4 linked regions of the Lepisosteus oculatus genome follow. The protein of the gene in region 3 purifies or fractionates together with the protein of the main gene of each other region. This does not show direct contact. Links are inferred from orthologs where the notes say so. Each region holds a gene or a part of one and is shown on either strand. Other genes may lie near its edges. The genes, in order: znf326, snrpd1, sf3b1 and srsf1a.

The links.
Region 1: the proteins of sf3b1 (region 3) and znf326 purify together in Homo sapiens (co-immunoprecipitation; 3 studies listed by BioGRID and IntAct, with this or other methods). This does not show direct contact. The link is inferred for Lepisosteus oculatus from reciprocal best matches to the Homo sapiens genes SF3B1 and ZNF326.
Region 2: the proteins of sf3b1 (region 3) and snrpd1 fractionate together in Homo sapiens (co-fractionation; 5 studies listed by BioGRID and IntAct, with this or other methods). This does not show direct contact. The link is inferred for Lepisosteus oculatus from reciprocal best matches to the Homo sapiens genes SF3B1 and SNRPD1.
Region 4: the proteins of sf3b1 (region 3) and srsf1a fractionate together in Homo sapiens (co-fractionation; 3 studies listed by BioGRID and IntAct, with this or other methods). This does not show direct contact. The link is inferred for Lepisosteus oculatus from reciprocal best matches to the Homo sapiens genes SF3B1 and SRSF1.

Annotation. Positions count from the first base shown.
Region 1 is NC_090704.1:1,170,337-1,178,241, forward strand, and holds the start of znf326 (DBIRD complex subunit ZNF326), read left to right. Parts: upstream 1-4,898; 5' UTR 4,899-4,959; intron 4,960-6,064; 5' UTR 6,065-6,066; coding exon 6,067-6,143; intron 6,144-6,382; coding exon 6,383-6,429; intron 6,430-7,152; exon of another isoform or gene 7,153-7,157; coding exon 7,158-7,242; intron 7,243-7,905. UniProt on the Homo sapiens protein: Core component of the DBIRD complex, a multiprotein complex that acts at the interface between core mRNP particles and RNA polymerase II (RNAPII) and integrates transcript elongation with the regulation of alternative splicing: the DBIRD complex affects local transcript elongation rates and alternative splicing of a large set of exons embedded in (A + T)-rich DNA regions.
Region 2 is NC_090705.1:41,557,470-41,565,474, reverse strand, and holds snrpd1 (small nuclear ribonucleoprotein Sm D1), read right to left. Parts: upstream 3,017-8,005; 5' UTR 2,894-3,016; coding exon 2,880-2,893; intron 2,399-2,879; coding exon 2,322-2,398; intron 1,668-2,321; coding exon 1,476-1,667; intron 500-1,475; coding exon 423-499; 3' UTR 279-422; downstream 1-278. Other genes in the region: sacm1lb (phosphatidylinositol-3-phosphatase SAC1-B), read right to left, coding at 7,644-7,780. UniProt on the Homo sapiens protein: Plays a role in pre-mRNA splicing as a core component of the spliceosomal U1, U2, U4 and U5 small nuclear ribonucleoproteins (snRNPs), the building blocks of the spliceosome.
Region 3 is NC_090707.1:7,058,960-7,066,100, forward strand, and holds the start of sf3b1 (splicing factor 3B subunit 1), read right to left. Parts: upstream 3,008-7,141; 5' UTR 2,942-3,007; coding exon 2,914-2,941; intron 1,035-2,913; coding exon 862-1,034; intron 208-861; coding exon 106-207; intron 1-105. Other genes in the region: coq10b (coenzyme Q-binding protein COQ10 homolog B, mitochondrial), read left to right, coding at 4,736-4,836. UniProt on the Homo sapiens protein: Component of the 17S U2 SnRNP complex of the spliceosome, a large ribonucleoprotein complex that removes introns from transcribed pre-mRNAs.
Region 4 is NC_090721.1:9,632,221-9,639,609, reverse strand, and holds the start of srsf1a (serine/arginine-rich splicing factor 1), read left to right. Parts: upstream 1-4,373; 5' UTR 4,374-4,795; coding exon 4,796-4,989; intron 4,990-6,440; coding exon 6,441-6,674; intron 6,675-7,120; coding exon 7,121-7,244; intron 7,245-7,389. Other genes in the region: pigs (GPI transamidase component PIG-S), read left to right, coding at 1-25, 618-893. UniProt on the Homo sapiens protein: Plays a role in preventing exon skipping, ensuring the accuracy of splicing and regulating alternative splicing.

The sequences.
Region 1 (7,905 bases), on a different chromosome or scaffold from region 3:
TGATGGATGGGAGGTTTGTCTTAGCTTGACTTAGCTGATGGTTTGAACTGTAGGAAGTCAGTTGACATGATCAAGAAGGGTCCAGTTAGCATGCTGAAGACTTCAGTTACTGCAGCGTTGCCTGTTCCACACAAGATAAGTGGGGTTGTGGGTATTAGTGACAGTACAGGCACTGTTTCAGGATTTGTGGACAAACAGTCTACATGTCTGAAAGAAAAAATAAAGCAGCTGAAGTCTGGAAACCTGGAGAGAAACCCATAGCTGCTGAAGAAAGTAGTTCTGGTCATTCTTTTCCATTTTATATGTTTTTTTTCAGAAAAAGACCAGTGATTTGTTTTACAATGCTTGTGCTGTTCATAGCTTTATGCTGTCTCACTGAGGGGGCTCCATCACCAAGCTTTAAGATTATTAGAGTTATTGTTTGTAATCTGCTTTTAAAAAGCTTTATATCCGAATATAGCTCACAAACTTGAGTTTGCTTTGTTAAAACGTTTTTTTCTGTTCCTTGTGCTTGACCTGATTCTTAGCTGACAGTACCTGTACCACCTGGCTCAGAATTCGGTCGGTCACTGTTCGTCGGGCTGCAGCCTGCTGTGGTGGCGTTCTGTTTCTGTACTGTCGCAGAAGAAGCGGTGAGCTCCTCTAACACAGCTTGCCTCCGTGGCGTCACGGCGGCTTGCGGGGGGGGCAGTGCACAGCTGACCGCTTCCGGGTCCAGTCGCCATCCTCTCTGTCCAGGTCCGGAGCATGGCGGGACCTGGCTCCCTGGCCGCACCGAAGTTTCGGAGTTTCTTTTCAACAGAATAACCGGTTTTAAAGACTTGCCTGCGTGGGCTTCATCTGCCTGAGAGCCCCTGTAGCTCAGAGCTCTTGATGTAACTTCCTGGTGTGTGCACGGTGGTGAGAGCCAAAGACACGTGCTGCAAACCTGCTAGCATTTACCATTGTAACCCTGGTGCACCGTTCCGTTTAGGAAATGGGGAGAGAAAACATGGCTGTTGTCCTCTCCTTTGGTGTCCTTCATGTTCCAAACAGTATGGCAGCAGGTCTCTTGAGCAGTGTGTCCTCATGGTTCAGGTTGGAGGACCCTTCATGAATACACACACCACAACCTGTGCTACAGCGCTTTCAGGACCGAACCACCAGTGCAGCAAAAGCATGCTGACTTCGTCCTCAAAGCGCCATAATTCACTTGAAGCATCACATTTCTTTCAACAGTGGCATTTTTACGTTTAGTTCAGGGGTTAAAGAAGAAGTGTGAACAAACCAAATCAGTTCAGTTATTAAGTTGCACATGGCAGCAGTTGATTAGAATACATCTTTGGGAAAAGGAGTGTGGTGAGGTTTTAATAAAAAGGGTAATGTATACAGACAGGGCAATGATAGTATTCATCCATTCTGAGAATGATAAAGCTTTAAGAATTGTCTAGTGTCAGGCTTTTTGTACATTTTTTGTGATTTTTTTAATGCTAAATTGAGTAAAAATGTGTTTTTGTTACTGTGGAATGTATAAGGCATTTCATTTTCCCTCCAAAAAAACACAATACATTTTAATGAGTATGCAAAAGGTAACCCATGAACAGCATATATCTCTGAATGAACAGATACCTTCTGTGAGGAGAGTTCATGCTCTAAAAGTAGGCGAAATATGCAGTGCTAAGTGTTGATACAGATCTGTCACACATCCTACGTATAGGACTATCTCTTGTTGGCGTCTTGCGTTTAATAGATATTTAACAACAGAAATTATTTCTGCATGGTGTGGAGAGGGGGCCAAAAGAGGTAAAGTAACCCTAGAGCCTGTTATGTCACTCGATATTTTTGTGAGACTACTTTACACAGAGCTTTCATTTTGAATCGGACAAAGACGACCCGGGTGTGGTCAGTTAATATTTCAGTGGTTGTTTAAAAATAATAAAATATGTAATTAATATTAACAATAAACATAATCTTCAAGCCGTAAGTCAGACACAGGCTGTGGGTTGTCATGATCCCTGCTCGGTAAACGAGGCTTACTATTATGTGCGAATGACCAAAAACGTCATTTTATCTCTTTTTTTTATCATTTTATATCAGCTTTTATCATTTCACCTGTGCTCATCTAGCTCACATACACTGTTCTATGTCTTCAGTAAACAAGACAGTCTCTCTACAGAGCTTCATTACGGACTGATTTCCCTGTTCTACTCGGTCTGGACTGAAATAAGCCCCGCAATGTAAAAACAGGCCTCTAGGCTCCAGCTCTTGAGCTGTGCTTGGAATGCAGTGGAAGCCTGATGTGACTTGAATCCAGGCGGATGTGAGTGAATATTCAGCTTTACCCTGAGAGCCAGGAGAGGAGGAAATAGCGACGTGTTTCTCATTCCATTCCCCTTCAGGGACTTTGTTGCTCGTCCTGTGATTAAATATCCCTCATTAAGTCCTCCTGAAGCTAGCTAGATCTGACAGCTGGGATAAACCAATTTTGCTTGTTACTGGTTTTGACGTTGTTAACCCTTGTTAAACTTTCAAATGGCTTCTCGTTTCCATGGCGCTCCGCTGGGCCCGTGGAACAGGTGTGTCCGTGTGACAGCCCCAGGGCCTCTGGAAGTGCAGGACCCGCCGGAATCGAAGGACCCCGCTCTGTGTCCGAGTGCGCTGTTGCCTGGGAAATCTGACACCGCGACACAATATCCCCTCTGTTTCCAGCCTCACCAGACCAGGCCCTCGCACAGACGAGCCTTTACTGACATTTTGCTTGTCTTTGAGGATGTAGTAGGACTTTTAGCCCACACTTCTAAGTGTAAGAATTTGAACAAAATAGGACAAAGATTGAACTGGCTTTTCTAGATTTCTGCCCACAGTATACGTTCTCCATACAAGCAAGCTCATTGGTTTAGTTTAGTATTTTTTGCTTTGAATCTGTTTTGCTTCTTTGTGTTTTTAGTGTAGTAAAAGCTCTGACATTCACCCATACGGTATCAATATTTAAAGCAACTGCAAATTGAAAACTTGATAAGGAAGTACTAGGGGAAGGACTTCATTTTTATTGTACTTATAAAACTTTTGTTTCTGAGGATCAATATAAAAGGTTGTTTTTTATTGTACAATAAAAACTATGGGCACGGTTTGTTTAATAACATAAGTAAAATATATCAGGATAAATCGAACCCAATAATCCCTTCTGTGAGGCATAACTGTGTGGCCAAATAATGATTTGAAGTTACCTGATTTTATACCAAAAATTAATGTCTTTTCTTATGGTGTTCTTGTGTATACCAAGGCCCACCAAATATTTTCTTTAATTTATGTAAATCATGTATGTCTGAAATGAATGCAGCAAAATGGACTCATTCAGCTTCCAAGGTGTCCCCACTGAGTGCTTCAAGGAATAAGGATGACCTGTGCACATTTGATAAAAAATGCTGCAGTAGCTCTGCGTGTAGTATACAGGATGTCTGAAGTTTCTGATTTGACATCAAACCGTGGACAAAGTGTCGGCATATTGCAATAATCTGAAAAATGTATTTTAACGAAATTCTCCAGTAAATTCTTGTTCTGTTTGTTTTTTCTAAATGCTGTATATAATTTGCAAGATTTTTGGAAGAATAAATGCGTTAAAAACATGAATATTTGAGTTCTGTGATTTGTGCTAATTAACAATTCTGTGCAGAACGTGAAAGCTGGGAAGCATCGCATTGACTTCAGTGTTGTCGATGGCCCGACAATTAGGATATTGTTTAACCTTATAACCTTATCAACAAAATAAGTTGTGCACGTTAAGAAATACCGTGGCACGTGTAATATGTTTGTGTATATATAGGTTCCCTCTTATTAGGCTGTGTAGAGATGCCACCAATATTTAATGATTCCAATCTAGGAAATTTAAAAATGTATTTCGTTAATACAATATTTAAAAAGAACTAAATTGTGATTTGCTTCCTCCTTTTAACTTGTTCATTAAAATATGTGTAAACGGATACTATGTTTAATTTAAAGACGAATGTTTAATTTAAAGTGCCTCACTATATTTCATCCTGTTTTTTCGATGCTTGGAAATATCGTCAACAAACGGCCTGTTACGTTTATGAACAGCTGAATTTTAAAAAGCCTTTAGGAGAAGGGAGCGTTTATTACTTATTGTTAAAATATAGGCCTTCAGTGCAGGTGGAACTAGTTTCCAAGAACTTTTCGTCAACTTCATTTGCCTGGACGGACGAGGAATCTAATTTAAAGATCATGTTGGAAACAACGGAGCAATTATCGAGGTGGACCTGCTCAAAGGACCATCACAAAGAAGCATTGGGAAGTGTATTTTTCCTGAAGCACAGAGCGCCCCCTAATGGGAAAAACGGCGAATATAATTTCTTAGTGAAAAGTAAATTAAATGCACAAAATGAAAACCGAGATTTTTAAAGCGTGTTCAGGGGTTTGTTCACGGGCTCATACGACAGTTGAAATCCATATTCACAAAATTTGCTCACGAATTTCAAACCTTGAAATTGATCTCATTTAAAAAATAGGATTGGTAGACTTCTGATCATTATAGTTTTTATTTTATTAACATGGTCCATGAAATAGTGACAACTTTCGTTAAACGTAACACATGAAGTATTACATTTTAAGTGCATCAATTTTCTGTAGTCTGTAGTAAATTCTAGTCTTTGCCTGTTATTACATAGAACAGAATCCATAGTATCGATACCCTGATTAAAACAGGAATGGGTATTTACAAATTAAAAACCTTTGTGCACGTAATATGAACTTGGTAGACGAGTAAGCAGTCAAGCAGTTAGGGGTTTGACAGCTAGTAAAGGTTTCAACTCACATTTATATTCTGATACATAACGTCTAGCTCTAACGCTCTGAGGTTACGCTTTTGTAGCCCGGAACGTGAAAAGTGAAAGACGCAATTCCAGCCGGACCTTTCTGTCTGTAACACGAACAACAAAGGGGGCGAATAGCATCTGGATGTTGCAGGTAAATACTGAACATGCTACAGATTTTTCTCATGTTTAAGTGTGCCGCTTTCTAGAATTTAAAACAATATTAAATGTTCTTGATATTTATATATCTCCATATCCATGTTTTATTTCATGTGTGCCGGGCGATTTTTTTTTTCATTTTTGCGCAGCTCACCGGGCCTTTGTTGAATATGATTAAACTGAAAAATGTGTGGGAACGTCTACCAATAATTTCATGGTGAAAAACGAAACTGGGAAACTGTACTACACGAAGCTATTGATTTCTTGATTTAGTGATAGAGGCGGACAATAATTCGTAACTAACTGGTTCTGCGGAAAACGACGCTCCTCCGACCTATTGTACTGGGATGCCGTGGTGAATACGTCCAGTTTTACACAAGCGGATTCATAATGCAATCGGATGCCTGTTTAAATATTTAAAGACTTGTATTATAACCACATGCAAATGCGTTTTAAACCTAACATACGCTTTTGACTGTAATCGTATTTTGAAGACTAGGGTGTGTCCAAGTTAGACCTAGCTTTATGGTTCTCTTTGGTCTATTGTGTTTTAACATTTATTTTATACGTATTTAAATATATTAACCAAACAGATAACTATATTTGTTCCCAATAGTGACATGATTACTGGTGGTTTGTGAAACAGTTATTTAGTATTTTATAAGGTGATATGTTTTATATTTCACCGGTGGGGAGTCCAGGTCCTGGACAACCACAGTCCAGCAGACTCTGTGGGTCACCCTCAGATCCCAGTGCCTGAACAGCTGGAACAGAATTTCGTTCTGTCCCCTTCTGCAGGCGATTTGTTGAAATAAGTAAATCACGAAAATGTCATGAAATTAAAATATTCCACTGCTGCCTTGATTGAACCATTGAACTTTCTAAATTGCTCAAAACCGATGTGTTCCAAGTCTTCACAAATTTATTATTTAGAGGTGACGTATAAGATCTGCTGGACCTATAGCACCTCAGGTGTTTTTAAATATCAGTATTCTCAAAGGGTGGGGTGTGGTTTCTTGAAAAACCCTTTCATACCATCACAGTTGGTGTCTTTGTTGTTGCTCCTTCAGTTAACATAGCTGACATGGTTCCGTCTACAGAAATGATTCGTGGAAATGGCAGAGGACGGTTTGGAGGACCAGCTCCAAGACCCCTAGAACCGTACAACTCCTTTGAAAGGTGAATTCGAGCGCACAGGGAACCGTTACGTGAAATATTATGACTGCTGCAGCCCAGGCTCGATGCTTTAAAGCCGAGTTTTGTCCCAGTTGTGAGTGTGCTTCGGTGTAATGTCATTAGCTTGTGCTTCAGTTAGGAGCTAGGTTTTGTTAATAATAGTGCATGTTATTTTATCTAGGTTACGGAGGTTTTTATTCTTCTTCTACATGCAAACTTAAGAGCAAACATTTTCTCCGCAGGTACTCGGAAAAAGAAGACCTGATGACATCACCCTTGGGGAGTGGAGGTGAGAACCTTCGAGTGCTGCATTTCAGGAATGTGAGAGTTTACAGAGATGAAGGAAGCCCTTCCACACGTTTAGCTCATTTGTTCGTTGCTTGTAGCCAAGCAGTCTGAGGATCTTGTCCAGCTTTTTAAGACTCGGCAATCTCTCTTTTATAATGTGACCAAACTTGTGCACTGAAGAGTGTGCTATCAGTTAAATATTTTGGTAAAAAACATCAGTTTTGCTGAAGCTTTTGGAGGAAAAAAAAAAGACCTGTGGTGTGCTTTTTAATTTGAAGTTTCTGCTTTGTGGTTGCATGACTTTGTATTACTGACAGTTTTCCTTCTGTGCCTAGCACGTTTTATCTGCTGTGCCTAGCATTGCACGCTTCCTGACTCATCTTGTCTTTGCTCCCTGAAAACTTTCTTGGACTTGGGGAAAAAATAACAAGTAACCCTATGATGGGTTTTTCTTATCTTCTAGTGTAGCTGAATTGTATGTAGGTTTATTCCAGTCTTGGCTAAGTGACTGTTCTAAATGAGGTCTTATTAAAGCCTATTAAAACTGTACAGTGTGCTAATTTGAAGATGTGGGACTGCAGTGGTTCCAAAGATGTATTTTTCTATCTCTGGGAGAACCATAGTGACATTGTCATTAAAGGTGCTGTGTGACATAAACATGATTTTTCTGGAAGCAGTACAAATTATCCCTGTAACATAAAGGTGCTGTTGGTTTCTGTTGGTCTGCAGATATGAGCCATGGCTGTTCCCAGAGAAGGTACGCAGGCCCGGTCTCAAGGCCCTTTGACAGCTTCGAAGGAAACAGTCTTGAAAGGTAGGAGATATTTCTAGTTTTTCCAAGACAGAAACGTTTATTCTGTTTTTCAGGCTGCATTGAAAGGATAGTATTTTTTCCATGTCTGTGTATAATGTTTACACGTCATGGAACAAGACAGAACTGTAGTGTTGTAAACGGAGTTTACAAGCTGAATGTGATTTGCTCTTTCCCTAAATATGTACATAAAGAAAATTGATTTTGCTTAGTTATTTCACAGTTTACAAGCATAAATAGAACTCTTTAGTTTCTTCTTGTATTTCTGTATTGTGAAAATGAAATATTTTATTTACTCCCAGAAAGATTAGTTTAAAGTTAAAAAAAACACAAGTTTAAAGAGACATGGCTTTATCATCGTACTGTCAGACTAGATGGATATTATTTAAAACCAAGCTGACAAACTGTTTTTTTCATGACATAATTTTAATCACATTTTCCAGACTTTATTTTGGAAGACTGGTTTGTAAAAGAAAAGGTATTGGCTCTGAATTCAGCATGCTGTCTTCCTGTGCTGCACACACTGGACATTAGCTAGTGATATTCAGACTTGAGGAAGAAAAAGAGGTGATACGTGGATGTTTCATTGTTCACAAATTGAAAGGATGCTAATCTGTTTTGTGAGTCACCTTGCATTAGGACTTCTGATTAAGCATATAAACAATC
Region 2 (8,005 bases), on a different chromosome or scaffold from region 3:
AGAAAATGGGCTGAAGAAATGCATTAGAGATTGACCAATAATGTTTAAACCCTCCCTGTGCGTTTGCACACAGACAACTTACAAGGGCCAAGCCTGGATTCATCAACAGGCCCCCAACAATACAAGCCAGTCCCACAGCTCAATGCCAAGAAGATCCGTCTCGCTTAGCAAGACACTGCAAACACTCCTCTCCATCAACACATACAGTACAGAGCAGTATCTATCCCACCCAAAGGAAAGATTAATTGTAAGTGTTAAAGGTTAAACAGGGCGCCATGTTATCAGGAATATGGTTTTTATTAGATATAAAAAAACAAATGGGAGATCATCCACAACATTTTCCTGCGAAATAAAAAAAAAACTGTACAGACAGCCTCTGCCGGAGAGAGGGAGAGCACTTGCAGCAGCAGCAGTGAGCGAAGTTATCTCCTCGGTCCTCCTCTGCCTCGCCCTCTTCCTCGGCCTCTGCCCCGTCCCCTGCCTCGACCGCGGCCGGCCACTGCGAGAGAGGACAGACACCAGTCACCCGCCGTGCCGCCTCACGGCCCAGCCCAGCCCGCGAGCGGAAGAGCAGGAGCGATGCACACCAGTAAAACAGCGAAGGGGGTTACACACGCCGAGGAGAACCTGTCCACTGTTTGTGCAGACGTCCAGATACCACGGAAGAAAACCGAGCCGCTCTTTAAAGATACCGTGAGGGTTAAGGAAAAGGGGCACAGAGACTCTCAATCATTACATCCACATATAAACTATTTTCACGCAACTTCCTGGGAATAGCTCAGGAAGTAAACTCTCGTTATAAACTACGACAAGTACAAACCCATATTACCACACCTGAAACGTCTGCTATAAGATGACTTTAGTTTACTTTAAGGTTTTGTCAGTATATAAAACATAGAAATACTTTGAAATGCCTCAGTTTTTTTGCACCCCAGTGAACCACCCCAAAAAAAACAAGCAGAAACTTAACTTCAGGCAATGAATTACTATGATGGTTTAGTCTTAGCAAACTGATTTCATTTTCATCTACATAAAGAGGCACCAAGAACGTCTAAGGCAGTTCCTAGCACATGCAACAATATTTTCTTGGTTTACACTCTGAGCTTAGGAAGTTGAATGTATTCAACCAAACAATGAGTCTTAACTGAAATATGATTTTGTACATGAACCGCTGCTCCAACTGTCCTTTCAAACAACCTCAACAAGAAACCACACATAGGACAATTTAAACCCAGGAACAGGAGACACTTCATTACCCCAAATACACCAAGGGTAGCGGGAGTGTGGAACAAGCCGGCCACCATGTTGATCAAGCCGATACCCCGGCTTCTCTCGAGAAACCTCAAGAAGAGATCCTGACCTCCTCTCTTTTGGGAATATGCTTAAGTTCTTATTTAAAACTGCGTGAAGAAACGCACTTCTACTCCGAAGATATATCTGACTGCTGAGGAAAAGCATCTTCTCAGAACTCCTACCTGCTTCCCTCTTTTTGGACTTGACCTTCGGCTCGATGTCGACCAACAGGGTGTCGAGAGGCAGGCTGTCCGGCAGGATGAAGTAGCGGATGTTGTTTCCACGGATGCTCAGCGTCTCCAGCTGGACAGGCTCCCTGTTCTTCAACGTCATTTTCACAGCTTTCAGGTGAGTGTTCATGCACACATCCACCCCTGCGCAGCACACGAACACGGGAAAGGGGGTGAGCTATCCTACTCATGGTCGCACAAAGAACACTTGGTTTTCTGACCAATTAGCCCACCTTTCTCTCCTATGACTGGCTGAAGGTTAAAGTAAATCTGGTATGAATTCGCTGTCGGATTGACTTTTAAATTGATCCCCAGCACACAGGACACGCATTGAGGTCTGAACAGGAAGCACCCCCAAAAGATGGCAAATACTTTTATCCCCTGCACCGGGTGATCCCTGACTGCAGGTTATTGCAGCAGGCAAGTAAACAGTTTTTCTCAGGGATCGACTATCCTTAAACAGAGAGATGCCCGAGTATCACCCAGCAAAGCCAGTTAGTACATGCTCATGCTCAACACATTCGTGAGAAGGGAAGCTGTTCTGGCGAGGGATAAGCTTCGTGGATTTTAAGGATCACTGGGGCATGGAGCCTCTGCCCGGCGGAAGATCGATCAGATCTTTTCCCGGGCTCGGAAGGACCCTCCATCCAGGCGTGCTGCGAGAGACAGCCCGTTCCCGTCTCGAAACGAGACAAAGGACCGGATGGTCCAGCTCTCCAAACCCACAGCGTTACTGAGGGAAACCGACCCAGTGGGCTTCTCGAGAACAAACACCGCAACAAGAGCCGATCCACCTACCAGTGATGGTGCCGTGGACCTGAGTTCCGTTCTTGAGCTCTATGGTGACGGTTTCATGGCTCAACTTCATCAAAAATCTGCAAAGGTGGGAGGGAGAGGGGAAAGTCAGTGCATAAAACACCCGTCAGGTAGCAAGAGGGACGAGCACCGTCCCGCACCGGGAGGCTAACCAGGAAAACCGAGTCGCACCGACCGGATGAAAACACGTCTCCGGCGGGCCGGCGCTCCTCTCCAGCACGTCTACGGTGCTTTGTGCGGAGAAATTAAAGAGCCGCGCTGGGACTCGACTGACCCGCCGCTTCAACACAACCGACAACAGGCGCGGATTTCGGATTGCAGCAGCCGACGCGAAACGGCGTTTCTCCCTCCCACCCCCTGGAAGCCGTTTGAATCGGCCATTCATTTCACCCCTTCCCGCCTCCCGCGTCTCCCCGACGCGAACGGCGCTTTCTGGAGCTGAAAACAACCCACAATCTGACTCCATCCTCGGCAATCCCTGCGCTTTTACACCCTTTAGCGACGCTGGCCCCAAGATCGAAACACCCCGAAACGTCTTACCGCACGAGTTTCATGCTGGCGGCTGATGGCGAGAAGAAATCCCCCACCGGAGTAAGACAAAAAATTATACACGAAACGATACAGCGACGCTGGGCCGTTCCGGCATTAAATCGGAAACTGACTCGGAAGTGAAAGGCAGCGGTGACCCGGAAACGCACCGAAGGCGCTGAAAGACGCAAAGAGGGGCCTCGGGCGTGGGATGGGGATGGGAGGCTCAGCACAGCGCCACCGTGTGTTTCATTACTCAGTGGAGGAACAAGAAGACGGCGCCCTCTTGCAGGGTGTCTGCCGAGGACGAAGCTGGGAGATTCGTTTCGTTGCTGTGGGTGGAAACGTGTTATCGAAAATAAAGCACAGTGCACTAGTGTTTTCGAGATGCGTTTCCTCTCGAAATGTGGAAGAGCCGTTTTTACGCTCGTAGGTCTTATTACTCGTCTATGCTGGTTGAAACACGGTGCCAAGGGGTAACAGCGCCCATAACTTTCAGGTGATGTGCTTCCACGCCAGCAGCTATAAAAGCATAAATATTTGCCTAACCCTTCCTCTGTGACTGGAAACTTTAAAAATACCTTATTGCCATATATCAGTTGTCAAATGTTTATCAGTTTTACCATGTAGAATACATTTATTTTCTGTTGCAGCTTAACGTCTGTTCCATCAAGATGGGGCGAAATGGCACAACCATGCAGTTATTATTCTCTGCAGTTATTAAGGACTATAATGAGAAATTGGGACTTTTTTTCCTGTGCAGTTTTGAAACGACCACATTAAACTTGCTCTATTTGTTTTAGATGTGATGATTCCTTATAACGAGCTTGTCACGGCTGAATCGCTTACAAAACAAAAAGAAGCCAGGTTTTGGGCACACACAGAAGACAAATCAGAAGTAAATGACTACAAATGTCTGTTTTTCATGAGAATTTATTAATTCTGTCAAATAAAACATACCACTTAAAACATGGAATGACAGAAGTGAGAAAACGATATTTTGGTATTGCAGACAGCCACAACAAAACATTTTTAAAAATCATTACAATTTTGAACACACTGGAAATATTTTTTCTCTACCCCTTACCTTGAATACATTAGGAAGAGAACTGGCTTCTTAGTATTTATGCACAGCAGACATAATAGGATCCATTCTATCATGATGGCTAGAGCTATCTTGACTCTTTTGTACTCAGCCAAAGCAAATGGTAATAAAATACTTCAGTAATTAGGTAATGGTCATTATATTATCTTATCCACTCTCAAAAGATATTAGATCAAAGCAGACAGGCATATAGATGTGTGAAAAGCATGGTACTTGATCTGTCAAGAAAGAAAAAGCAGCAAGCATGCAATAAATATACAATGTATAGTCAATGATGTAGCATTTGGATTAAATCGTGTCACATGCATGGTGATATGGCCAGGGTTATAGCCGTCATTAAAAGTTTCTACTTAAATTTAGATACAAGATACAACTGTAAATTCCAAACAAACAGATGAATTTCCTGCACATCAAGTAACCTGGGCACATCCATGCAAATCTCTTGCCATAACCATGTTAACCTGACATAATTTGAGAATTTATTCACTTTGGACGAAAGTTCCTGCAATGATCATGCATTCATTCTATGACAATGGAATTAAAGCTGTGGCAGTTCCATTTCTTTAAAACAAGGCAGAAAGCATACAGTCCGTCAGCGATACAACTGTGCACCGTCTCCAAACTGGGCATGTGCAGAACAACACTGAACTACAAATGCAAAGCTATAGATAGAGGCTCTAGTCTGTAAAGCTAGTCTCAATATCGGTGCACTGTACATGTACCGACTGCTCAGACTTGTGGATTGAAACTAGAACATCTTCCCAAATAGGTTTGGATGTACAAAACATTTTAATTTTAACTTGCAGTGTTGAAGTTACAATTAAACCATTATTTCATTAAAGATAGGTGACCTTTGCACTTAGTTTAATCAAAAATTACCTTTAAAAGACTACTCCCATTTTCATCCCTGACTTCTACTGTATTTTATAACTATATAACTCTGTCCATGACATGTAACCGCAAGAGGAAGAACAGGGGTTTGTAAAATATGAACGCTAATAATATACCAGGTTTGTCATTATTGAAATGAAATCCTTATTCTTCATTTATATGAAAATGTTTTTGTCTTACATCTGAATAATGGAATGGTTTCTCAAGTTCATTACAGGAAAAGCACTAATAAAACAGCAATGACTGAAATAGGAAATGAAACAGATGTTGATCTATTAATGACTTTATTGCAAAGTTAAAGACAGCCCTCCCTGTAAAACACTAACCAAGTGTCAATATTTAGAAATCAACTAAATCTAATGAGACAAAGTGAAATATAATATCCCTAATCCATCTCTCACATTATTACCAAGGTAAATATACAGAATGGTGAGCATATCATCCACTAAAAGGACATAAAAGAATGATCAGAAATGATTTTACCAATATCCACTACATCTGCACAAAGAGCTGTACAACAACTCAGGAGTCATATTCTACAGTATAAACAGCAATGTTCCCTTTAAGGGCAGTAAAGCATTTGATCCAGATGAATTGACATGTTTTGTAGCAGTCATTGCAATACAACATGAGTTTTAATATTGTTTTCTTTCTCTAAATTAAGTCTACCTCAACCACACTGGAGCAAGTCATTTTCAAATATAGCTTTGTATACAGAGATGTGTACTGTGTATGAAGTGCAAGGAAACTGTCCAATACATAATTACAAGGAAATATTTTACACAATAAAAAAAAAAAGATCTGAAAGTCATTTGTATATGTAGACAAAGATCGCACTGAAAACAAACTTGAGGGGGAGCAGGCTGGTATTCTTTTAACCTACGGGTGGATCTGTACCTCTGTCCACCTAAAACACAAATCCCCACAACTCTTTTGTTTTTCTATTGAAAGTATCTGCATCATGTTAAAATGCTTTTTTTTAAAAATGAAGAATTTCCATGCAAAAAAGAGTAAAAGTAAGTTGTAGGTTATTTGCACCAAAGGTTAAAACAACTTGATATCTCAAGTCTGTGATTTCCTATTTAAATTGCTAAGGTACTATTAAGAAAAAGCTGACCTGGGGAAAAAAGTACATACAGTATAATGAATGTGTTAACACTGTTAATATTTTATGGTTTGGACCACTAAATTAAAAGTGGAAAAACACATACAAGGCATGTTAACCAATTATACATTCTCTGATTTGTTAAGACCATCCTGAAGCCCACTTATCAGAAAGAAACATTATAATTTACATTATTAATATATACCATAGGTCTATCAACACTTTCCCCATTGTTCAACAGCTTGTAAGGCAGACATTCAAGCTGAAATCTGATTAACTGCAGAGCTGAGAGCACAATACAACAAGACAAAACACAATGACAATGCAACCAGTCAAAACCCAACCCAGTGGTGTTAAGTCCAGCAATCAAACAGAACATTTGCAAAAGCAGACAGACCAGCCACACTAATGTGGCACTTTACATGGTTAAAATGATTTGGTCCGATGGGAACTTTATATGATCTTAAATCTGGCAATGTTAATTTTCTACAACTTAAATTCATACCCAGTTTTGAGGTATGATGATTATTGTCTCAAAGGTTCTAGCAGCAAATGTTATTCTTCTGTATTTTGTGTTACTCCTAGGAACTTTACTTCTTGTTAAAGAACTTACAAAAATAATCTCCTACAAAGTGACTGTGCAAAGAACAAAAATGTTCAGGCAATGTTCAGAGACACCTGTGAAACCTCACAACTCTCAGGAGTTTGGGATTTTCCCCCACACAGGAGCTCAAATGTAAAAGGACTGTTTTACTGGAAGATTATAAGGTATAAGATGGTGAAAAGGGAAAATGTATTCCTTCTTTCACCTTGATTTCATTCTGGTTTCCTTTCCTTTATTATTTTGGACAATCATGCAATTATTTTTTGTCAATAAGGCTTTTTGGTATATCCTCTTCAAAGTAATTAATTTAGTTAAAACAAAGTAATTACATACAGACAAGGAAAACTGCACTTTATCAAAGTATTCATGTAATTTCTACCGGGACACTACAAATGTCTTCCGTCAGTATGTTAATTAAAAAGGGTGTTAAACCAGCGACAATGCATATACTGAATGCTGAGACCATATAAAGATCCCATTAAAGGATGGAATATAGTGTTCTCGATGCTAACACTTCTTTGTAGATCTGGGTTAAGGTCCATTCCCAGTTCCTGTTCAGGGATTGTGAAAAAGAAATTGGAATTGGGAATTGATTTGAATCTGAAAGAGTGAATCTGGAAAAAAAACCTGGAATTGACTATGGCCCTGTTATACACCTTGTTTGGCGCAAAAGCCAACCAAGACTGCAAATTCTGCTCTGTGTAAGAAGTGTGGGAATTGCAAGAGGAGAATAAGTGCTGCGGTACAATCTGCTGGAATCTGAACATCACCTGTAGAAGATGCTGCACGTGGGTGAACAGCAAAACGGAGCGGTTATTTAAATCTCGGACGGTGTCAGACACTGAGGAGGGGTTTTGTTTTCCGGATGTATGACGCTTCTTTTAGATCCCCACACCCCCTAAAACACCCAAAGACAGAAACTGTTTCTTGATGGTAAAAATAAAACGAAAGAAAAAAAACCCAACGCTTATGAGGATAGCCTCCTGCCATGGTGTGGAGAGCAGGTCAGTACAAACTCCAGGCCTGCAGGGAGGAATCGCGGTAACCGATCTGCTTTCCACACGCACACATTCAGTCCATCTTCTCCTTCTGGACGAGCTTCGGGGCATCGACGAACTCCTTGCCGTTGAAGAGAATGATGGCTGCGGTCCCGAAGCTGGCTGTGCCCCAGAACAGCACATAAGCCAGGGTCTCCGTCCAGGTGTCACCTGCAAGCACACAGGCGAAAGAGCGCAGCAGGTGAGAAGATCACGCACGACAGAACTGCAATGTCTCAGCTGCCCTTGCTGATCAGAATCCGCACACCGAAGTGCTCTGAAGGTTAGCTGAGACAGCTCAGACTAATAATGTACTTTCAATAATGTAATAATGTAAGCCCGTTGTAATACAAAGGCCTGGCCAAATGTTACTGGCCTCTTTTTTTTCTTTCACTC
Region 3 (7,141 bases):
CACTGGTGGCGCTTTGAGTAGTGTGCAGAATAAGTATATTACCGTTATTAACAACACGAAGCTAAATAAAACGGGGGGTGACAGCGAGCCACCAGAGGTACGGACCTGTTCTGCAGACTGGGGGATGTCGTTGAGCAGGGCCACGGGAGCATGGTACCCCGGCTTCTTCTGTCCCAGCAGGCTGGTGGAGGAGTCTTCCTCGTCATCCTGCGACCAACACAGAAAAAGCAACAACCTCATCAGTCCGGCTCTGCGGCAGCCCGCCTCGAGAGGAGACATGACACCACCTCCAGCGCCGACTTAAACATCAAACAGGTACGCAAAGGAACAAGGAAAGGTTTCTTCCACGCTGGAAAGGGGAGAAGAAACGGCGGTGAAGGCCTTCTTCGGGTGATAAAGAAGGATGGTCCAGTTTCTTTTCTTCTCTCTTCAGCATGGAATAAACTTGTCCTTGTTTGTTTGCAGCCTACGCAGCTCCCTGCTTGAATTAAACCCAACGGGTATGTACACTTTCACAAATCTTACACGGAAACACGAGAGAGTCTGCAGAAACACTGCAGGGCCACGCTACACACAAATCACAGGGCACTTTGCGTCTTGCTGTTCTAAAAAAAAAGGCATCGGACTTGTAACCGATGACCGTCAAAATACCTGAAAACATAAAGAGATCCTGGGAAAGCACACACAACTGAACGGATAGGGAGGAGCATCAGACCTTGGACGACTTGAACTGTTAAAGATCGTGCACCGGCCCTTCATTCACGCATCGCGAGTTAGCCTCGCGAAGCAGAAAGTCACGATCGCCATTTCTCCCCACAATAATAAACGCCGGGTTCCCTATTTAAAAAAAAAACAACTCACATCCTCGTGCTCGTTGGCGGCGATGGAGGTGACGTAGCCAGTGAAGCGACTGTCGCTGCCGCCGTAGATTTCCTGGTCGTAGTAGCCAGTGGAGTCCAGGCCCACGCCCCTCTCGCCCTCCTCCAGCAGGGCCGCCTTCATGCCCTGGATCTCCAGGATCTGCGCCTCGATGTCTGAGGCAGGCAGGCAGGCGGGATGGGGGGGAGTTGTGAAAGCAGAGAGGAAGAACCGGATCATCAGAAAGAGCACAGATGAGGGGAGGCCACTTGGCCCCTGGCCATTGCCCACCCCAGCAACAGAACAACAGAAACATCCCATCCTGGCCCCTCCCTCCCCTCAAAAACAAAATCTTGTTTTTTAGCAAAAACCCATGCACACAAGGCAAAATATGCGAACTCCACACAGATGGGTGCCCCCATCTCAGAATCAGATCCCAAATCACGAGGCACTAATGTCCCTCCCACAACATCACAGTGCCACCACACCAACAGGGCGCTGAGCAAAGAGACTTCGCTTCACTTCATATTTCACTCTCTCAGCACATCACACCCCAGCAAAGGCTCTGATCCCAACAATCACACCTTAACAACTGAGCCTTGAATGTGCATCGGGAATAAAGAATGGTCATTGAAGCGCAGATTTCAGAACACACCGAGAGCGGATATCAAGTCGTAACACCCACTGACACTTGTACGACAACATACGCAACGCCTGTTTTGTACTTCATGCTTGCTACCATGTTCTCAATAACATTTACAAAAAATAAATTTACACGACCAAGGCCTTCTGACAGAAAAGACCTTTGCACATGCCACTGAAGGGGCTCAAGATGGAAGATCACAGTGGTGTTTAAGCGTCTAGTGGCGTGCAGTACAGAAGGAGGTCACTGCCCAGGAAGAACAGGAGACGCTCCAGGGTCAAGACTTCCCCAATACAGATGTAACGGTACAAGCTCTTAGCATAGCATCAGCAATTAACAAGACAAGGTAAGGGAGGCTTCCCGCGGAGCTGGGCTAGCTCTGCCTCGAGTTTAAGCGCGACTCGTAGGACCGGCTGGACTGTGGCTCTCCAGGCCCAGCGCTGGCCACTCCTGCCCGCACCTGCGCGGAGACCGCGGTGCAAAACCACCCGATTCCCATCTGAACCGGATACCAGACCGCAGCCTGTTTCACGCCAACTATTTCGAAGGGGGGGGCGGCGGTTCAGGGAATCGGGTGAATTTAACCCGAGAGCCGGACTGTTAGCTCTGGCAACGCTGCGTCAGGGACCGAGGACTTGGAAAGTTTCAAACTAGCAGCCTAGACCAGCCTCGTTGTTGAAATGAACGACATGTTGCCCCCCCTGGGGCCATCGACAATTAAGATACTTCACGGGCAAATTTAGTTCCATTCACAAATGCACCCGAGAGGCGAGCCCGCATGAGCATGACTTTGGTCGCAGCTTGTGCACAGCTGAGTGGCCCTGGCTGGCGTAAACACTAACACGCCATTTTTATTCAGCCGGCGCTCGCTGCACCGCGCGTCTGATGCCAACAAACAACCCCCACGCCTCTCGAGGGGCGATTACACGAATGCCCTCCGTTAAAAGACGGCCGAAACGGATGAGCTCGCCTGAGCATCTGCTGTTCTTTCTGTCTTACGAAACGATGCCACATGTCCGACGGGCGCCTCAATGCGCATTTCGGAATCGTAGGGCTACCTACCGAAAACGCGCATCACGCAGTTCCCAATCAACCCTTTATACATTCGCGTGCAGCTACGGATATCTAGTCTAAAATTACGCAGGTTTTCGTTTTGGACAGGTTAAAAAACAGCGTCGTTTGAAATCATAAACTCCCTGCGGAGGCGAGTCTGCGGGCGCCATTATCTCTCTCTCGGTTCACAGAGCGATCACACTGCGCGGCCGGCTCCCCTCACACTCGACAAAAAAAAAACACCTAAACCTGCTACACATAACCCGACTCTGCTTTCGCAGGGTGCATTAGGATCTTAACCCATCCATATGAACGATTTACAGCGATTTACTTTGAGGATTTCCTCTTATTCTCCTTACCTTCGTGTGTTTTGGCGATCTTCGCCATTTTCGTAAATCCGAGAGTCTGTCCGGAAGGCCAAGCTCGAGCAACTTCCGCTCTCGCTCTAAAGGAGAGGTTTATGCGCCTGCGCAACGGGGAGGGGGGGTAGGAGGGGCTTAAGGCGAAGTGCTCTCGCGCTTTGGGTGCAAGACGCCACCTTGTGGTGTCCTGCTGTATCGCCGGGGTTCAATCTGTTAATTGAATAACAACGATGTTGATGTTCAGATCAAAGATGATCAGAGAAGACCGGCGCTCAAGCTCCACCAAAGAGATATTACATAATTAAACAGAAATGTGTATGTTCTAATTCATAATTAAACATAATGAACAGGTTTTTGAACCAGGACATAATAAACTAACCAGGCTCACACCCGGAGGCTGGATACACTGCAGAGCTAAATAACGAGTCTTTGTCTGTACCCCGATTGGTCTCGTGAATAGGGTAGTGAGAACCCGAACTTTTGTGTTCTCTTGAGTTATCGAACCTAAGCCCTCATCTGAACATCGTATCTGGTTCACAATAATTCACTGAGCATTAAACTGAGTGTAATCACTTACTGGGTCATTAATTCATAATTAATAATAATTGCTTACACTTATATAGCGCTTTTCTGGACACTCCACTCAAAGCGCTTTACAGGTAATGGGGATCCCCTCCACCACCACTAATGTGCAGCCCCACCTGGATGATGCAACGGCAGCCATAGTGCGCCAGAACGCTCCCCACACATCAGATATCAGTGGGGAGGAGAGCAGAGTAATGGAGCCAGTTCAGAGACGGGGATTATTAGGAGGCCATGACTGGTAAAGGCCAGGGGGAAATCTGGCCAGGACACCAGGGGGCACCCCTCTACTCTTTTCAAGAAACGCCCTGGGATATTTAATGACCACGAGGAGTCAGGCCCTCGGTTTTACATCTCATCTGAAGGACGGCGCCTGTTTACAGTGTCCCCGTCACTATACTGGGGCATTAGGACCCACATGGACCGCAGGGTGAGCGCCCCCTGCTGGCCCCACTAACACCTCTTCCAGCAGCAACCTTAGTTTTTCCCAGGAGGTCTCCCATCCAGGTACTGACCAGGCTCATACTGCTGAGCTTCAGTGGGCTGCCAGTTGTGAGTTGCAGAGTGATATGGCTGCTGGCTCATATATATTAGATATATTAGTATATATATATAGCGTTTTAATCATTTTTCTCTCCAAACCTAACCACTCGGGGTTTATTAGCATATTGTGCTTATTTTATATTGTAATCTCTTGTAAATGTTTGAATCCTATCGCCTTCCCTTAATTGTTAATTATACTGGGGGCCTTTATTACCATTAACCGTGGTTATGGTTTCTCATGAACCGTAAAAACACTTTGAAAAACTGCTTACAAACCATGTATTAGTATAAGAACGAAGACCTGTTGACATTCAAAGAATGTAAAAAAAAAAAGAGAAGATTGAGCGACTGACGCAGGGGGGACTGACTTTTACACAGTCACATTTCACGCACAATTAGATAACTCCCCGTGCCCTCACCCCAAATTTAGCCATAACCTTTACTTAGAAAGGCAGGGCGCCCGGAGCAACTCAATCCAGCATCTCGTGACAGGCCGGGGCACACAAACACCGCAGGACACACACGCGCCCCCCCCCTCTCCAATGACGGGCGGCTGGAGCCGCCAATGACGAGTCAGCGCTCCGGACCAGGGGCCAATCAGAGCCCCGGCCCTGCAGGGTGTGCTCGGAAAGGGGGGCGGGCCGTCGCTACAGAAAGTGTCGCCTGCGCTGGGCCTCACTTTGTTAAAGCGAAAATGGCGAGAGGCTGTAGGAGCCTGCGGAGAGCTGTTGCCGAATGTATCAATCAGTTACCGGCCGCCGCTAGCCGGGAGAGGCCACCCAGGAATGGCGTCAGGTAGGGTGTCACCTTTTTTTTTTTCCAAAAAAAAGTTTCTTCGCTCCTGCAGTCTGTGTAAAATTTCCGACCTCAAACTCTGCTGGGGTCAAGACGGTAAAACACATTCGCATATTTTTTGTTTGTTTGTTTGTTAAGAGCCGACATATGTTTTAACGAATGTGTACTCGCATAACATCTGCGTTTGTCATGGCCACTGGTTAGACGTCTTCGGAGTATGGAGATGTTTAAGTTCACGAAAACTCTGTGCACTGTGTTTTATTAAATAAAGTACTAACAGCAACATAAGGGACACTTTCGTTTTTAGATGATTTTCTCGCTTCTCCTTGAGATTTCGGGTGTCTTTGCAGCGTTTCGGTGAGTTTTAGCCCTGTGTTGAATAGTTTAAAAGTCGACAGCTGTATCGCTTGACTTGATTAACTGTGCGGAGGGGGAAAAACACTTTTATTTTTCCGGGTAGCTGGAGGACAGTACTTCGGAGAAATAGTTTTAAATCTGCAGTCACCTCTCGAGGCGGGTGGGGGGGTGGAGATTATACAAGACCTCTGCACGATTAAAACAGCTCAGGCGTACAGACGCCGGCCGAAACAAACAAACAATACAGTTATAATCAATTGCAAATATGGAAGACAGAACTGCATTTTTTTTCTAAAGAAAAAGGCCCCTCTCCAGAGTGCTAAATGCCGTGCATAGTTTCTCAGTACCGCATCTGGGAACATCTCTCTGGGAGAGCACGGTGCTGTGAATCGGTGGAGGAAAAAAAAAATTAACTAAACGATCTTAATCGCTTGTAAGATTAACGATCCGGATCAATAGATATACACGCCTGAGATAAGGTGGGGTTCTGTTGCGGTCAAGCAGAGAGCTGACGGCTGCAGGGACAAGATATCGCCGTCCGGTCGGTCCAGGCTCGGGCTAGGTCCGGTTCCCCTCCCCGGACCCCACGGGTCGACAGGGCTGCGGTGCCCGTGTGTGTGGGGGGCGGGGGGTGTAGTCTCGGTGCCGGGGTTCCCTTTATTAAAAAAACACAGCGGCTGGGAGAGGCTGTTACAGACCGGTCCGGTTAAGTAGCCAGTAACCAGCTGGGTCAGTTCGCCAGGAACCGGAAACGGCACAGAACCCCTCCCCCCGACCAGCGAGGAACACCCCTGGATCAGGGGCTCCGCACTTGGAATTTTTTTTTGGGGGGGTGGTCCTGGTGTTGTGCCAGTGGCCAAGCTTGACCTGCTCTCTCCAGCCCTGTGTGTGTCAGTAGTGACCCAGGGGGCAGCCGGGTGGGTCACTGCGTTTGTGATGTCGGTTGGGCCGATGGGGGGGACCCTGGCTCTGGGCAGCAGGGATGGGGGCTGCAGGGGCCCTCCGGGACTCTTCCGGGCCTCTCTTTCACTGGGGCTGGGGGATTGGGGGGACTGACTGGCTGGCTGACAGGACGGGGCCTTCTGGCGCTGTGAGCTAGAGGGGGGTCTTCTCCAGAGGTCAAAGGCATCCGGGGAGCCCCAATTTTACCATCCCTGGGGGGCAGGGAGAGCCGAGGGGCTCCACGCGGAGCTGGGGCGCAGGAAGAAAGCCCGGGTGTCGGCCGGGGCAGCCCTCAGGTGTGTCGGGGGGGGGGGGTGTGAGGCTGAGGAGTGCGGCAGCAGAGGTGTGGGGGGGGGGTGAGGACAGGAGCTTCAAAGAGATGGGAATCAGGCAGGCGAATTCCAGTGGCCGAGCGGAGCCGGGGATCTGGGAGTGCCCTGGAGGGAGGAGCTGATCGTTAGCGCGAGAGCCGGGGGGGAGGTGTGATCCTGCTGTTCGGGACAGCCGTGGTTCCTGCCCCGTCTGTGAAGCAGGAGCGGCGCCTGGTGTACTGCCGCAGGTGAAGCGGCGACTGCGTCTGATGTCTGTGGATTAAGGAGAACGGAAAGGTCGCAGACGAGGGGGCCGTTCGGTGCAACGTGGTTGTTTGGTCGTTCGGGGCTAAGTGATCCCGGGATCCCAAGCAGTAAGTTCTTGCAGGAATCCGGGGAATCCCCGTTGACAATATGGCTGGCCGGTTTGCTCCCTGAATGTGGTCAGCCATGTGTTTCCCCCAGTCCTGAATTCTGAAGTGTCCTTCTGCGAGATCTTCTCAGCTGTCCTGTGCTGCTTTTGCAGTGTTTGCTAATCCTCCTGTTTTGTTATGTGAGCCTGACTAGTTGATGAACTACATCACTATCAATGATCTACAGTGATATCAACAGCAGTGGTCCTAGTAGAGATCTCTGTGGTACGCCACTAATTACATCAACCCTGAATTGAATGATCATCACTGGTCTGTGCTGTG
Region 4 (7,389 bases), on a different chromosome or scaffold from region 3:
CATCGACGACCACATCGCGGAGCAGGTGAGCGTGACCCCGCCGGTCATTGAAGAAAATCCGAACCCACACCTCATGGCACAGCATGCCTGCATGGCTCTTTGCTCTGCTGCCACACGGCTCCTGGATCCTGGGTTCGAGTACTGGACCTTCTGTGTGGAGCTTGCACACTCCTAGGATGTTTCTTGAAAAGAGTAGGGGTGTTACCTCGATGTCCGGGCCAAATTCCCCCCTGGCCTTTACCAATCATGGCCTCCTAATAATCCCCATCTCTGAACTGGCTTCATCACTCTGCTCTCCTCCCCACTGAGAGCTGGTGTGTGGGGAGAGTACTGGTGCATCATCCAGGTGGGGCTGCACACTGGTGGAGGTGGAGGGGATCCCCATTACCTGTAAAGCACTTTGAGTGGAGTGTCCAGAAAAGGGCCACTTTTTTAGTGATTTTTCACCACACTGACAGATGGATCAGGTTTGCACCCCCTGCTGGACAGATTGCACTCCTTCCTTGCCCCAGTCTCCTGACTGAAGTGTAGGTTAAGTGGGATTCTTTCGGCAGCCGCTGGCTGTTCCACTTGGTTGAGGAAGACGTGATCTGAGCGAGGTCCTCCTCTGCTTGCAGGTGTACAGCGCGGTGAGCTCGCTGCAGCTGGCCGTGGCCGAGCTGGAGGCCGGGAACCTGGCCTTCGCCTTCCAGTCCAGCAAGGAGGCCATCCTGTCCTCGGAGAGAGCCTTCTTCGACCCCTCCCTGCTGCACCTCCTCTACTTCCCCGACGACCAGAAGTTCGCCATCTACATCCCCCTCTTCCTGCCCATGTCCGTGCCCATCCTGCTGTCGCTGCTCAAGATCGGCAAGGAGTACCGGCAGAGCCGCGCGCAGCGTCCAAAGAGGGACTGAGAGGGGCCCCGCTCGGCCTCAAGTGGACCCCCTTGACCTCTCTCCTCTGGTTTTCTATACATGCATCTACGGAGTGTGCAAGGAACAAGTCCAGGTTTATTTTGTGCTGAACGGAGAAGAAAAACGCAGCGTTTCTTCTGATGCTTGAAGAGGGCTCCACAGCCGAAACGTTGCGTTTCTCTTCTTCTTCTCTTTTCAGCAGGGAATAAACCTCTGCTTGTTCCTTTGCAGCCCACGCGTGCTGACGCAGCTCCCTGCCTGAACTGTACAGAATGAGGGTGTGTGTGTGCTTCCCCTGAAGAGGACCGGCATGGTAGTGCTTTGTCAGGGCGTAAGACCTACTGCATCCCGAAACCTTCTTGAAACGTTCTTCAAACGGTGCACGCACCTGGATCAGGAAGGTTCAAGTCCTACTTCTCGGTCCCCTTGGCACCATGAATAGAAATATGCGTCACAAAGCAAGCAGCTAGCCTGCCTGTCATTAGGCATGCAGTAATTGGAGTAGGTACGTCAGCATGCGTAGGCTGTAAAAGAACGGCAAAGGGTTTATTCCGTGCTGAATGGAAAAGTGTAGAAGGCTGCACAGCCAAAATGTTGTCTCTTTCCCTTTTAACATGGAATAAACTTTTATCTGTTCCTTTGTATACAGTAAATTACTAAGGTGTCTGCTCTACGTTGAGACCAGCGCACTGGTTTCAGAAGGGTTGTGGGGATTGGCTTTCTACCGGCATTGGGCCCAGCACTGAAATATGCTCATCACTGGATTATTTTCGAGTCTGCTGTTCATGGATCGCAGACTTTCTCGTTATGACGTTTTGGGTGCTCGACGTGTCTGTTCATTCGCTCCTGCAGCTCAAAGGATCCGCGATGGACTCGGTGTCGGAACGCTCTCCTCTGTCGGATGGTTTTCCCGGCAGGATGTGTTGAACGTGGAGGCAGTAAACACAGTACGAATGTGATTGATCTGGATGCCATGCTATTTCTGTCTGGATCAGTATATGTATGCGTGTGGTTGTGTTGTTTTCTTGAGTATTTGTTGTTTGTGTTTCTTAGAACCTGTTTTCTTGTGGGGTATTTCTTCAACATTCTTGATTGTTGGATTTATCTATTAAGAGAACAGTTAAGCAGATGCTGTATGAAGCACAGTGGGTGAGAGAGAAATCTGTGTGAAAACTATTTTATTTATTGTGTTGATGGTATATTTTAAGATTCTTTAACACCTTGATAATAACCCCCTACATGAACACGGCTCTTTGTATTATAACATTAAGAATTTAAATGTAGAAATTAGAATTACCTCACGGCCAGTGTTGTTGCATGAGAATGAAATGGATTTCCTATCAAAGATCAATTATTTTTATTTCTAAACTAGAAAACAGAGACTCTCGGGAAAGGGAATGTCAGTGTAGCTCCGAGATGAATTCTGGGACTTCGTTGGCACAACAAACCTTTCCTAGAGCAGAAAGTTTAAATATCACACCTGTGGTGTTCCTTGGCAAAAGAGTTACAGTTCCCAGCAATAAATCAAAGCCTAGACATTAAACAGAAAGTAAATAAAGTGTATAGGCACAAACAAACTGCTTGAAACCTGCATGTTTCTACAGAGGTTACCCAAGAAAGACTGTACACGATAGTGGTTGAAACAGGCTTTAAATCCATGCCTGCATACAGCACAGGTAGTAGTTCAGGTGGGTAGCTGCGTCAGCATGCGTAGGCTGCAAAGGTATGCTGCTTACAATTGTATATGGGGTTGTACTGGTAACTTGCAGAGAATGACCTCTTAACTGGCTTCATCCTCTCTAGAAACCAGGAATGTATTTCCATTCCCAGGAGCTGACAATATTCCCGAAACTGCCTTGGGAAAAGAGGAGGGGTGCAGGCTTTTTGGGAAAAAGAGTTGTGGGGAGGTGGGGTGGGGTGAATTGCCCCTTATCCCCGTTGTGCTGTTGTGTGCCTGGAATGTGGCGCCTCTCAGGCTCACAGGCGAGACACGAGCACCCTGCTGCCAGCCTGTTTCACACAGCAGATGCCCCGGGCTGTCGCCCCGGTCCCCATGCCTGTGTCCAAGTGCATGAAGCCGAGAAACTGCAAAAGGCCCTACACGCGTTTCAGATTTTTAAGATATTAATCAGACGTTTTCAATTTGTTACATTACTGCTCCCTTTTTAAAATGGGAAGGTAATGACTCAGGGCCCCTTGCGACAAAAAAATACAAGTGTTGACTGAATTAAAATCAGGCTTTTCCATTCAGTGGCCAATTTCAAACTTAAATCCATACACTCTGCCACTGACGTAGGCTTGAAGTGAGCTGTTTTTAAATTTCGTGCTGAAATCCTTGTTTTCAACGTAATGGAGTGTTGCAGAGTGAGGTTAAGGCCCATGCCTGCTACTAACTTTGACCTGAACGTGTTTTTTTTGTTGTTGTTGTTATTGTTTTGTACTTTTTATTTTTGGAGGGGCAAAAAGAGTCGCACCAGAATCTCTGTGAATCAAAATAAATAAAAACAAACACAGATGAAGTGTGACTTGTGAGTCCTCTCCAGTTCAGGGAAAGTGTCCCTGCTCTTTGTGTTGTCTAAGGCTGATGTTTGTGTTGGTTTGTTGCTGCTTAGCAACCAATAACTCTGCTATGGGCTCAGTGAAGAGGGTGATCGTGTTTAAATTTCTGTTTGTTTGTCAAGCAAACTTATTTCAAATACTGTCGGTTATTCCACAAAGTTTTAAAAAGAGAGCACACAAAGAGAAAATGGCCGACTGTTCCCGCACGGAGTGGCCGGTGCTTTGTCTATACAGAAGCCAGGAGCCTGGATGCCCTTGAGGGGTTTTATCTGCTGTCCAAAGAGACTAACGGACACGGTTACCCCCCCGTCCAGTTCAGCTGTGAATAAAATCCACATTCTTGAAAACACTTAATCTGTGGAACTGCTTTCAATCTTTCATTTTCATTGCTATCGCCGATTAAGGCAATAAATAGTTTGCATTTCGATTTCAGATTTGGGAGTCATCTTTCGAAAAGCGTCTCATTCAAACAAGTTTTTAAAAGCGAGTGATGCACAGCACACTTAAGACTAACAAGCTATTTATCTGTAATGTCTGTTTCTGGGCGTCTGGTCCTAGAAATCTGATTTCTCAACACTAAACCGTTCTTGGATACACTGATATTGTAGGGTGTCTTTTATCTTTTTGTTTTTTTGCATTAGGCATTGTAATACTATCGAAATCTCTTATTTTTTCAAACCTACTTTATGTAGGTTTTGCACAATTTGAAATTATGAGGTCTGTTGATTGTACATTGCCTTCGATAAATAAAGTCGCTATTTTATAATAGAAAAAAAAACACATTTTCTCAGTTTTCAGAAACTCATAGTAATTTGAAACTGGCGCAGGAGGGGCTTCGGGCGACGCGACCTAAACGACGTCACTGTAGCGTGTGGCCCCCCAGCATAAAAGTTCAGGGTTCGCTACAGGTTCCTCCGTTATTTTATTTGCAGCAGCGGAAGAAAAATATCGAAAAAGCCAAAGCCTTTTATACATTTATTTTCCCTAGTGGGCATTTAACGTACTCGGTGTTTTAATTTTATTTTCCACGCTGGCGCAGCGAAGTGGTAAACAGGGGATTATTTTATAGGTCGGAGGTGCACTTCCAAGCCGGAGAGCGCGGAGCGGGCTCGGTCGGTTGTGTTCCTCCGCCAGCGCAAGACGGTTCAAACGACTGGGACAGCCGGCGCCATTTTGAAGAAGGCAGGGAGCGGAGTGAGTGCGTGGAGACCGAGGCGCACGCTAGAAGATAAACGGGGCATCAAGTTTGCAGCACGTGAGCCGTGAGCGGGCAGGCTGCTAGCCGTTTGTCATTTTTTTTGTTTTAAGTCGCGGTAGTAGCGGTTGAGCGGTTTCCTCGCACGATGTCTGGCGGTGGTGTGATTCGGGGCCCTGCTGGGAATAACGATTGTCGGATCTACGTGGGGAACCTGCCCCCAGATATCCGCACCAAGGACATCGAGGACGTTTTTTACAAGTACGGGGCCATCCGGGATATCGACCTGAAAAACCGGCGCGGAGGACCGCCGTTCGCCTTCGTGGAGTTTGAGGATCCCAGGTGAGGGAGCCGGGCAGGGAGGAGGGAGAGGCGCCGTGGGCAGCACGCGCGGCCTGCGCGGCGCGGGCCTAGGGGGAGGCGCGCGCGCGGTGGGTCCCGTGTCTGCACGATCCTGGTGGTCGGGGCACCCGGAGCCCTGCCTCGTTTGTGCTCGGGGGGCGTTTGTTATGCCTTTTTGTTTTTTCTCCATCGATTGGGCGCGGAGTCTTGTGCAAGTCGAGAGCTAAGGACCCGTTGAGCGTGCGCCTGGCTCTTACAGGTCATGCGGTGTCGTACCCTGTGGCCGGGGCGCTGGAAGTCGATTGCCTGGTCTGTGCGAGGGCGCACACGCGTGTTCCTGGCTACGTGGAGCTGTACCGAGCGTTGGTCAAGCTTATCTGAGCAGATCACTCGGAATTTCGATGAGGCCCTATAAAAACTGCGATGGTGCTGATATAAGCTTCTAGCCGGCTTCTCCCGCGACGCGGCGAGGGTCCCAAAACCCTCCAGAGTCTTTGTTCCTTTGTTGATTGTAAAAAGTTTTCTCTTGGCCCCGGTTTATATGCTGAAGCAGTGATGCAACTTTTCGATCGCCGTTGCAGCGTTGTAAATACAAATTGTCGTCTGTTAAACTTTTTTTTGTTTCCTTCCGCTGGAGATGAGGGACGGGGTCGATAATTAAAATAACCTCGGGGTTTCCCCTAACTTTCGGGAGATTAAACACCAGATGGGGGGGGGAAATACTAGTTCACAGCGCCGTGAAACCATGCTTCACCTGCTACTTTTCAAGCATGCAGGATGTTTCCCCTATTGTGGTGGTTTGGCGCTCATTTTCTCGCCATGTGACGACCGCCGCCAGCCTTGTTGTAGTGGAGGAAGCTGGCGGCGCTCGGAGCCTTCTTATGATTTCTGTGTCTAATTCTGTCAATCGCGGTGAAATATTTGGAATACTGGCATTCACCGACAAATGCTTTATCTTTATTGTAGTTTGCGTTTGCCCCCACCTCATTCCTGACCCCATCTTTGTCTGAAACAGTTCATGCGTCGACTTTGCTCACCTGGTGTCTTTTATTCCTGAGCTGCCCAGAAAAATGAACATTTATTCGTGCATGGGGGCACGTTCAAATGATAGTAGTGCCAATGGAACAGTTTCGAATTCATAATATCACGCGGTTATGAAAACGTGCTGTGCGGTTTGGTTTATCGCGATATGGGACCTGCTGACGACTCGCCGGAAACGCGGATGAGACTGAAAGACATGCGAATATACTCGAGGTACTTTCTGCAGCTGGTGTTCGCCTGTATACACGTGTCTTCCCCTGGCAAACTGTAGGGTGCCTTCCTGCTGTTGTGGGGAAGCATATTTGTTTAAATTAAGCTTTGCTAACCAGCAAACAAATCCACTGTCTTTCCTTCTTGTACACCCTGGTTTCTGAAATAGCTTCAAGTCCTGCGTGTGGTGCTGTTTTCAGGGATGCTGAGGACGCAGTATACGGACGGGATGGCTATGACTATGATGGATACCGCCTTCGAGTTGAGTTCCCCAGAAGTGGGAGGGGCACAGGTAGAGGGGGCGGAGGTGGGGGGATTGGAGCCCCCAGAGGCCGATATGGCCCCCCCTCTAGGCGATCGGAGTACAGAGTCATAGTTTCAGGTAAGCCTCACTACTGGATATTGCAAATCTCTATGCATGAAGTACAAATGGAGTCTGTTACTCTTAATGCAACAAATGATTCTATCTTATCAATTCTTCAGTATACTAGTCATGAATGATCTTTTTATCAAGAGAGAGAAGTTCACATTTGGAAATATTTCCCAATATTGTGAATTTCTAACTGCTGTGAAATCATTTCAACAGTTACAATTAGTCATTGGGCAGTAATAGTAATAATTGCTTACACTTATATAGTGCTTTTCTGAACACTCCACTCAAAGCGCTTTACAGGTAATGGGGACTCCTCTCCACCACCACCAATTTGCAGCATCCACCTGGATGCAGTGAGTGTTTTTTTGTGGGTGGTCAGTTACAAATGCATCTTTCATCTTGTATTGATCTGGGTTCTTCTGCTTTGCTTCCAGTTGCTTCTTTTGATCAGGTCTGCAATTCTCTGCTAGGCTCATCTTCTCTTGTAGAGGTCTTCCCAAGTGGCAGTGATTCTCTCGTATGTTATGCTGACGTTTTCCGAGATGGAACTGGTGTTGTGGAGTTTGTTCGCAAAGAAGATATGACCTACGCTGTACGAAAACTGGATAACACTAAATTCAGATCACACGAGGTAGGTTTGAGGTTTTCTAACTGGACCTGCATTGGATACAAAGTTCATAAATGTTGGATTTTTCTTTTAAGGTAAGCAAATGAGCTGGATTTAATGACATTTACTGGGACCTTCTTGTAAGTGAGATGTCCCAATGAATGTCGCC